2 linked regions of the Oreochromis niloticus genome follow. The protein of the gene in region 1 purifies or fractionates together with the protein of each later gene. This does not show direct contact. Links are inferred from orthologs where the notes say so. Each region holds a gene or a part of one and is shown on either strand. Other genes may lie near its edges. The genes, in order: afg2b and timm13.

Evidence for each region.
Region 2: the proteins of afg2b (region 1) and timm13 purify together in Homo sapiens (co-immunoprecipitation; 3 studies listed by BioGRID and IntAct, with this or other methods). This does not show direct contact. The link is inferred for Oreochromis niloticus from reciprocal best matches to the Homo sapiens genes AFG2B and TIMM13.

The regions. Positions count from the first base shown.
Region 1 is NC_031965.2:12,577,905-12,581,825, reverse strand, and holds the start of afg2b (ATPase family gene 2 protein homolog B), read left to right. Parts: upstream 1-1,140; 5' UTR 1,141-1,190; coding exon 1,191-1,206; exon of another isoform or gene 1,207-1,385; intron 1,386-1,472; coding exon 1,473-2,083; intron 2,084-2,180; coding exon 2,181-2,366; intron 2,367-2,486; coding exon 2,487-2,771; intron 2,772-3,595; coding exon 3,596-3,781; intron 3,782-3,921. UniProt on the Homo sapiens protein: ATP-dependent chaperone part of the 55LCC heterohexameric ATPase complex which is chromatin-associated and promotes replisome proteostasis to maintain replication fork progression and genome stability.
Region 2 is NC_031986.2:44,780,684-44,784,478, forward strand, and holds timm13 (mitochondrial import inner membrane translocase subunit Tim13), read left to right. Parts: upstream 1-1,312; 5' UTR 1,313-1,417; coding exon 1,418-1,537; intron 1,538-1,886; coding exon 1,887-1,955; intron 1,956-2,461; coding exon 2,462-2,560; 3' UTR 2,561-3,235; downstream 3,236-3,795. UniProt on the Homo sapiens protein: Mitochondrial intermembrane chaperone that participates in the import and insertion of some multi-pass transmembrane proteins into the mitochondrial inner membrane.

The sequences.
Region 1 (3,921 bases):
AACAATTCATTATTATATTACATTATATTATATTATATTATTCTTTTTTTAATGTTTACTTGATATTTGAGGAATAACCTCAGTACAAAACATGCAGCCAAACAGAAGCAGCATACATTAATAGAGAGAATATATAATTAAATACATTTCCTTATATTCTGCAGATAATCTTCAGAAAAATAATACAGCAAAAAGAAGACAAATAATGAGGGAATGTTGAAATAAACATTTATTCACACAATAATGGGTCATTTTTTGCACGTGGGTTTTGGGGTTTTTTTAGAGTAGCTTATCCATAGTTTTCTAATGACTGTTTTTATGGCAAATACTTTCATTCCAGTCCTTATACCTGACCCTTTTCAGAGGAGTGTTTTTTGTTACGCTACCTAATGCTGACCTATGAATCATTCAAACATAAAAAGGCACCTTACTCAAGAGATGAACCAGTGTTGTGTCTACACATTACAGACACCTTAGCAAAGAACCAATTTCAAATCATTTCTTTGGGCACTTTAGACCAGCAGCCTGTCACAAAACACGGCATTTGTTCTCATTTGTTAGGTTGAATTTATGAATTAACGCCAAAGATAACAAGGTTGACAGGCATAAAATTGGATCAACAAGTGGAGAACAACAGAAGAAGTGACAGGCCTAAAAAAACAAATGCAGCAGACAAATTATCTCTAAAAATAATCTCCTTTAGAAATCGGGGGGGGGGGGAGAACAGCAAAGACCTGATACAGGACCTGAGAGATTCATGTGGCCCTTCAGTTGCTTGGACCTCAACATTATTGAAGCAGTGTGGGATCACTTTGACAGAGAACAGAACAAAAGGCAGCCAACATCCAAAGAGCTTTGAATGTCTTTCTACAAGCCTGGAGAAATATTCCCGAAGACTACTTAAAGAAATTACAAGAAAACCTGACTAAGAGAGTTCAGACTGTGTTGAAGAATAAATACTCCTAAAGATTCCAAATATTGACTTTTATGTTCACTGAAATTGTAAAAACTCTCTTTATGTCTTATATACTGTATTTCCATATATGTTTGCACATGCTCCTATTTCCCTAGCAAAATATAAAGAAATTAGGGGTGACCCAAGACTTTTACGTAGTAAAGTGTCGACGCGGAAGATTAGCGTCACCTCACGCAGGAAGCTGTTTTGGTTGACCGTGTTGTTTTAATGCCACATGGATTTTGTAAACAGTAAAGTCTGAGTTGATATGTTCTGTGTAGTATATAGTTGGTATTAGCACCCATTTTATTTCTGATTGTTTAGGTGCTGTCGGCTGGTTTCAGCCGTTTCCGGTACATAAACCTCTTTGCCTTAGACCCAGCTTAGTCAGAGTTTTGTCCTACATGCTAACGGTTAGCATGTAGCCTCGGTGAAGTTTTATGCTGCCTCTGAGTTTCTGCTTAGTCTCTCTCCCTCACTAACGTTACGTGCGTCTCTGTCTCTATTTCCCCGTCAGGTGGCTGCAGGCGGAGCATGGAGCCTCTGAGGCTGCTTTCCGTGGATCCATCAGACCGGGGCTCTCAGAGATGCAGGCTTGGTCCGGGCATGATGTCGGCGCTGGGTGTGCACCTGGGCTCCCCTCTGCTGGTGTCTGTCCCCGGAGGAAGCTGCCTGTGCACTGCCTGGCCCCGGGCTGACCTGGCAGAGGGCTTCCTGCAGATGGACCTGAAATGTTTCTCCCCCAGTCTTCTCTCTCAGCTCCCCTCGCACCTGAGCCTGGACCCCGCTCAGGTGTCACCTGTGATCTGCTCCAAACTGAAAGGCGTCAGGATAACCGTGATAGTCCAGAGTGTCAATTTCAGGAAACGCACACCGCATCGCCTTGTTCATGAGCTTGTAAAAGACATGCTGAAAGGTGTTTGTGTCCATGATGGGTTTGTAATAAACCTGGAGGATTTCGACACAGAGATCAAATATGTTGTTATTGAAAGCATCAGTCCAGAGTCGGATAGTGCTGGATTCATCACCTCGAAGACTGCTGTTGAGATTGCTGGCATCCAGACACTCCGACATTACAGGAGTCAGCTGCAGGACCGGCACACAGTGCAGCTGGGGGGGCTGGAGGAGGTGAATTTCTTTAAATAATACCTAACAGAGTGTTTTTCCACTGTGCAACACCTAATGTGTGTGGTTTTTTTGTTTGTTTGTTTTTACAACATTTTAGGTGTCTGCATCACTTAGAGAGATGCTGAAGCTGCCACTTCTCTATCCAAGCACACTGAGCTCTCTCGGTGTATCCTGTCCCAGAGGGGTGCTTCTGGTGGGGCCTCCAGGTGTAGGCAAAACCTTGCTGGTCCGCCAAGTGGTGGGTGAGGTGGGAGCCTGCTTGGTGGTGGTCAGAGGGCCAGAGGTAAAAAAGATGATACTAAACACACCTCATCATAATATTGATGCCGTCTAATATTCCTCGTAATACGCGGAGCATTTTGCATGTAAATGCATTACCAGTAATTCTGAACAATAATTTCAGGTGGTGGGGGCTCGGCCTGGTGAGAGCGAGGAGGCGCTGCGGGCCGTGTTTGAGCGTGCTCGATCCGCAGCAGATGAAGGTCCCTGTGTGCTGTTCTTAGACGAGCTGGACTCTCTGTGTCCGAGGAGAACCAGCTCGTCGGCTCCGGAGAACCGGCTGGTTGCTCAGCTTCTCACACTCATGGACGGGATGAATCAGTCTGACCGCTTTCTCATCGTCGGAGCCACCAACCGGCCGGACAGCTTAGACCCAGCACTGCGCCGGCCAGGGAGATTTGACAGAGAGGTGTGTGTCCGCTCACTGTCACAGATCCAGTGTTTTTAATCTTTCTTGAGAAAGATGATATAAATTTCATCTTCTCTGTGAAGTGTAGATAATTGGGGTGCTTATGCAGGGGTTTCTCTCAGACGTTTGTAATGCTTCAGTTGACTGATTTGTCTAGCTTCAGATTTCACTAGAGATATCTTTGTTTCTAGAGATGCAGAGACAGAGATACAGTAATGTGCAAAAGTCTTGGGCCACATATCATTTCTTTTCTAGAAAAATTGGAAACAAATTAAATGTTTTATTAAAACATGTCCTAACATACATGAAAATGCACCATATAAGTTAAAAACAGAGTTTATACACTTTTAAGGAGCTTAAAACTCAATATTTGTTATGGCGACCTTTGTTCTTAAACACAGCCTGAACTCTCTTAGGCAAGGAAATAAAATAACGTTGGCTCACATGACTTCCCATACTTCAGTGAATAGGCTCGGGATCTGCAGCATGTCTCCTAAATGACGAGGCAAAACCCATGTGACACAGATACACTGTATGACCCTCCGGTGAAGCGTTTTGTTTTTGAAACATGTCTGGAGGAACAAAAGAGGATTTTATAAAAACAGAAGATGACAGACGACAACCGAACGCCTCGGTACACCTAATTCTTTAACACTGCTGGTAGTCACGACTACGTATAGATGTAAACATAGAGTTGGGTTTTTTTCTGATTATAAGGCAAGATGTACCTTTTTTACTTATATAAAATATCTGTCCAGGTCGGTGAGTTGGTGCAGATACGTGTATGTGAGTCGTTAGTCTCTGAGTGTTCGTCTTTCCCACAGGTTATAATCGGAGCTCCAACCTTGCAGCAGAGAAAGGCCATCTTGTCTGTCCTGTGTGAGAGGATGCCTGTGTGTCCCAGTGTGAACCTGACAGAGCTTGCACAAACAACTACAGGCTACGTGGGAGCAGACCTCAGTGCCCTGTGCAGGGAGGCCGCCATGCACGCTATACGGGAAGACTCCAAAGTAACGACAGCGACCTGTCACAGTGAAACAAAACACTAGTTTTTGCTGTTTTGCTACAGGAACGACACACTTTATTGCTAATTGTGCAGCTGTGTTGTAATTGTAAAGTCAAAGTTAAAGCCTGAATAAGAATCACATTT
Region 2 (3,795 bases), on another chromosome or scaffold:
GAGAAATGCAGTTTAGTTATTAAAAAGATGAAGTGTATCCTGATCAAAGTAACACACAGAGGATCAGGAAAACTTGTGCTCAGACTACAATTTAAAGACTGGCTGCTCCTTTTAAAGGATGACAGTGTGTAACTATTTAATAGTTACACACTGTCATCCTTTAAAAGGAGCAGCTCAAAATCTAAATCTAAGGGGTGCATTAAATACTTTATTATTATGTTTTTGGTTAATAATAAAAGAAATCAAAATTATGACTGATGGGTGGAAAATAAATGAATAAAAAATTAATTTCAGTAGAGGAAATTAGCCTCGTTACAGATTAAAGTCATTGTCTTATTATGTGGAGTGACAGGAAAGTTGAGCTCACATAGTGTTGATCTGCACAAAGAATATCTGCTTCATGAACGGTCACAAATGTATCGATAACTGTTGATAACACACTGTGAAAGAGCCTAACTGAACTTAGTCCAACTCGAGGGAGTATTTAGCGGAGAACAGCTCCACCATGTGGCAAACAAAAGCACTTTTGTTAAGGTGGATCAGGTGTTAACCTGTTAACCGTAGGGGTGACCAGATGCCTTCATGTTGGACTGCACCGCATGTTTTACCCCTTGCGCCGCTGTCCCGCATATTGAGACAATGTCCCGCACTTTGACCGGCTCTGCAGGATGTGCACTTTTTAAAGTCGGGTTTTTATGTCCAACACTCTAATGCGCTAACTCTGAAACCAATAGGGGAGAAGTCACCTAAACGTTACACGCTTTGCAAATTTTGAATCAAATTATTCAACAGAAAATTTAGCGGCGGTTTATATCGTTTTTTTCCTCTGGATAATTTCTTCACTTTCACGCAAGGGAAAATATGGCGTAAAGTGACACTACACGTGTCTCTTAATTGGCTAGAAAAATGCTAACGTTGGCTCAGTAAACATTGTATAGATAATGATGATGATGATTAACAGACAGGAGAGCAGCTGAAATAACAGGACTATGTAAAAAGTATTGCATAAACTTCAGCTCCGCTTCATCCTTATTTTATTTACTTAGCAAGAGAGCTAAATAGTTGCTTTTAAATACCATTTATTTGGCTTTTACATGCTAAATGCAAACCTGCACAGTACTTCCCTGTATCGCCAACATGGTCCCACAAAAATGCCGTTTTTAAATGTTAAAATGTAAATAGTAGTACTATACCTGATCTGTAGGAGAAATGCTACTTGTAGCAGTACAACCTTTGTTGGGAAAAAAAAACTACATTTCCCATGACGCCGAGTGGCTCACACGGAAATGACGCAACAGGCACAGCTTCTGTCAAGGGCATCGGAAACTAACGCCGGCTAAGGCTAGCAGCGGCTGTTTGCACGTGTATTGGAAGAAGCTCCGCAAAGGTGAGTTTGAAGAACACGACTGTGGCGGAAATGGACGGCTTTGGTTCAGACTTCTCAGCAGGAGGGTCCGGCGGAAAAATGGACACCGGTACCATCATGGAGCAGGTCAAGGTCCAGATCGCGGTGGCTAACGCTCAGGAGCTGCTGCAGGTAAATCAATGAACACAGCTGCTAAGCTAGCAAGCACACATTGAGTAAGTGCTGAGTGCTTTTACCTTTACGGGTCAAAGCTGTACAATGGCTTTGTTCTTCGTCCTGTGTGTAAGACTATTTTATTTTTTAGCCCGCAATAACTTCTGTAAGGTTTATGGATCCTGTCAGCATGTTAATACACGGCTCATATAAACACACGAGCCGAAATGCTGCTGACATAAAAAGATACTTTTGAGCCAGACCAACTTTGGAGGGTCTTTTTTTTTTTTTTAAAGTCATGCAAATATTCTGCGCTGCTGCTGTCAGAGTTGTAAATGCTAATAAAAGATTGTTTTTCATATTTCAGAGAATGACCGATAAATGCTTCAAGAAGTGCATAGGCAAGCCTGGAAGCACACTGGACAACTCTGAGCAGGTATGCACTGGCGGACTGAGTTGCTTCAGTGATGCACTGCTGCTCCGAGCAAAGAAGTGATCACGTTTTTAAGAAAACAGGAGGGCATAACGAAAGTGCTGCAGGGCTCTAAAGGCTTACCTGACAGGTGTTTTTGAGTGGGTCAAATGCAAGCGCAATACCAGAAACATAAGGTGTTGCTGAGGTACTCCATCATCTTGTAGAATAATATAACAGGTTTATCGTAGGATAAGATGGACCAACATGTATCGACTCCCGAGTCTTCATCAGTGTCTCGTTTCCAGGTTAGAGTCGATCTGCGTTGGTCTGTCTCTCCCTGCAGAACTGCTCCTAGGATAAACTTGTTATATATATATTTATATTTGAAAACAAGGAGGAGTGCATCAGAAACATTTTTTTGGTATTAATCACAGTTTTAAATTGGTTAAATTCTTTATAGACCACGAGTGGATTATTTCTCTGGACTTTTAACCCGTGTTTTTTTTTTTTTGCCTTGTCCCTAACAGAAGTGTATCGCCATGTGTATGGACCGGTATATGGACGCCTGGAACACCGTGTCCCGAACATACAACTCCAGACTGCAGCGAGAAAGAGCTCGCATGTGAACTCCTCTCTCTTCATCTTTCCCTTCTTCAGGCTGCCGCACACAGCGAGGGCCGATGCAGTGCTCTGCAGGAGGGCCCACGCTGTGCACGAGTTTTGCCACGACAGCGGCGCAACATCTTTCACAATACCTGTGACAGGCAGAGCAGAGCCTGTGGACTGCAGCCATACCAGTGTCTCTGTGGACAGTTTTTCTGCTCTGAGGAACAGTTCACTACCAATGTTAAATCGATTGTGTTTTACGTTAGAAATATAATAATTCATTTTCTGCGTGTTCTTGCCATGTTGATTGGAAACACTAAATTACCTGCTTAAGTGTGAATGTGTCTGAAAGTGTTTGCTGACGCTGCGACAGGAGGCTGAGCCTGCTGTGCTGCTAAAAGGACTCCAGATGCAGTTTGGCTCAATAGGCCCGCCTTACTTACTGTGACTCATCTGCCTGCCCATCGAATGCTTCTGCCTGTAATACCAGTAACAGTAAACTTCTCCCAGTCACTGCAGACTCTCCTTTAAACACTGTTTCACATTCTTTGCCGGGTGATTGAGCTTCGAGACTAAATATTTCCTGGAGCCCTTAAAGGAAAGAAAAAAAGTGCTTAAAAATCATCAGGAAGAATCGAGGAGCAATTTGGTGTTTTCACCAGCATGAATTTGACATTTACAAGCCTCCAAACAGACCTATATCAAAGTACAGCTGGAGAACAACACTGTTTTGTCTGACATGTTTTCTGGTTGTCACTCTATCTGCTGCCCTCCACAGTAGTGGGTTTGTTTCAGCGGGGTCTCCCTCGCCCTAGACGGGGTACTGCACCTTTCTCAGCCTCGTGTGCATGCGGTTTGTTAGATATCTGGGAACCTCCTGAGTTTGTGTGAGGAGCCAGAAAAGCTCTGTGAACATCTTTTGCAATCAGTGATATTTTTTTTCCCCAAGAAAAAATAATAAATCTCATCAATCAGGTGTTCTCTCGTTTCTGATCAAAAGAGCGAATATCCACCAACAGAACGACACCGAGTCCCACGTCACTGACTTTGTACAGAGTAGACTTTCCCCACAAATCCACCTTACAGTAAAAGATCACAATACCATTATATTGACCCATAAATGAATGTTCTCCACACAAGGCCATGTGCAGTGTGTTTACCATCCATGACAATAAATAAATGTAATAAATACTCCAAATGATCCGTGCTAGCTGAATGTTTAAGCCACAGTTCAGGTGGGAGGAGGATGGGCCCA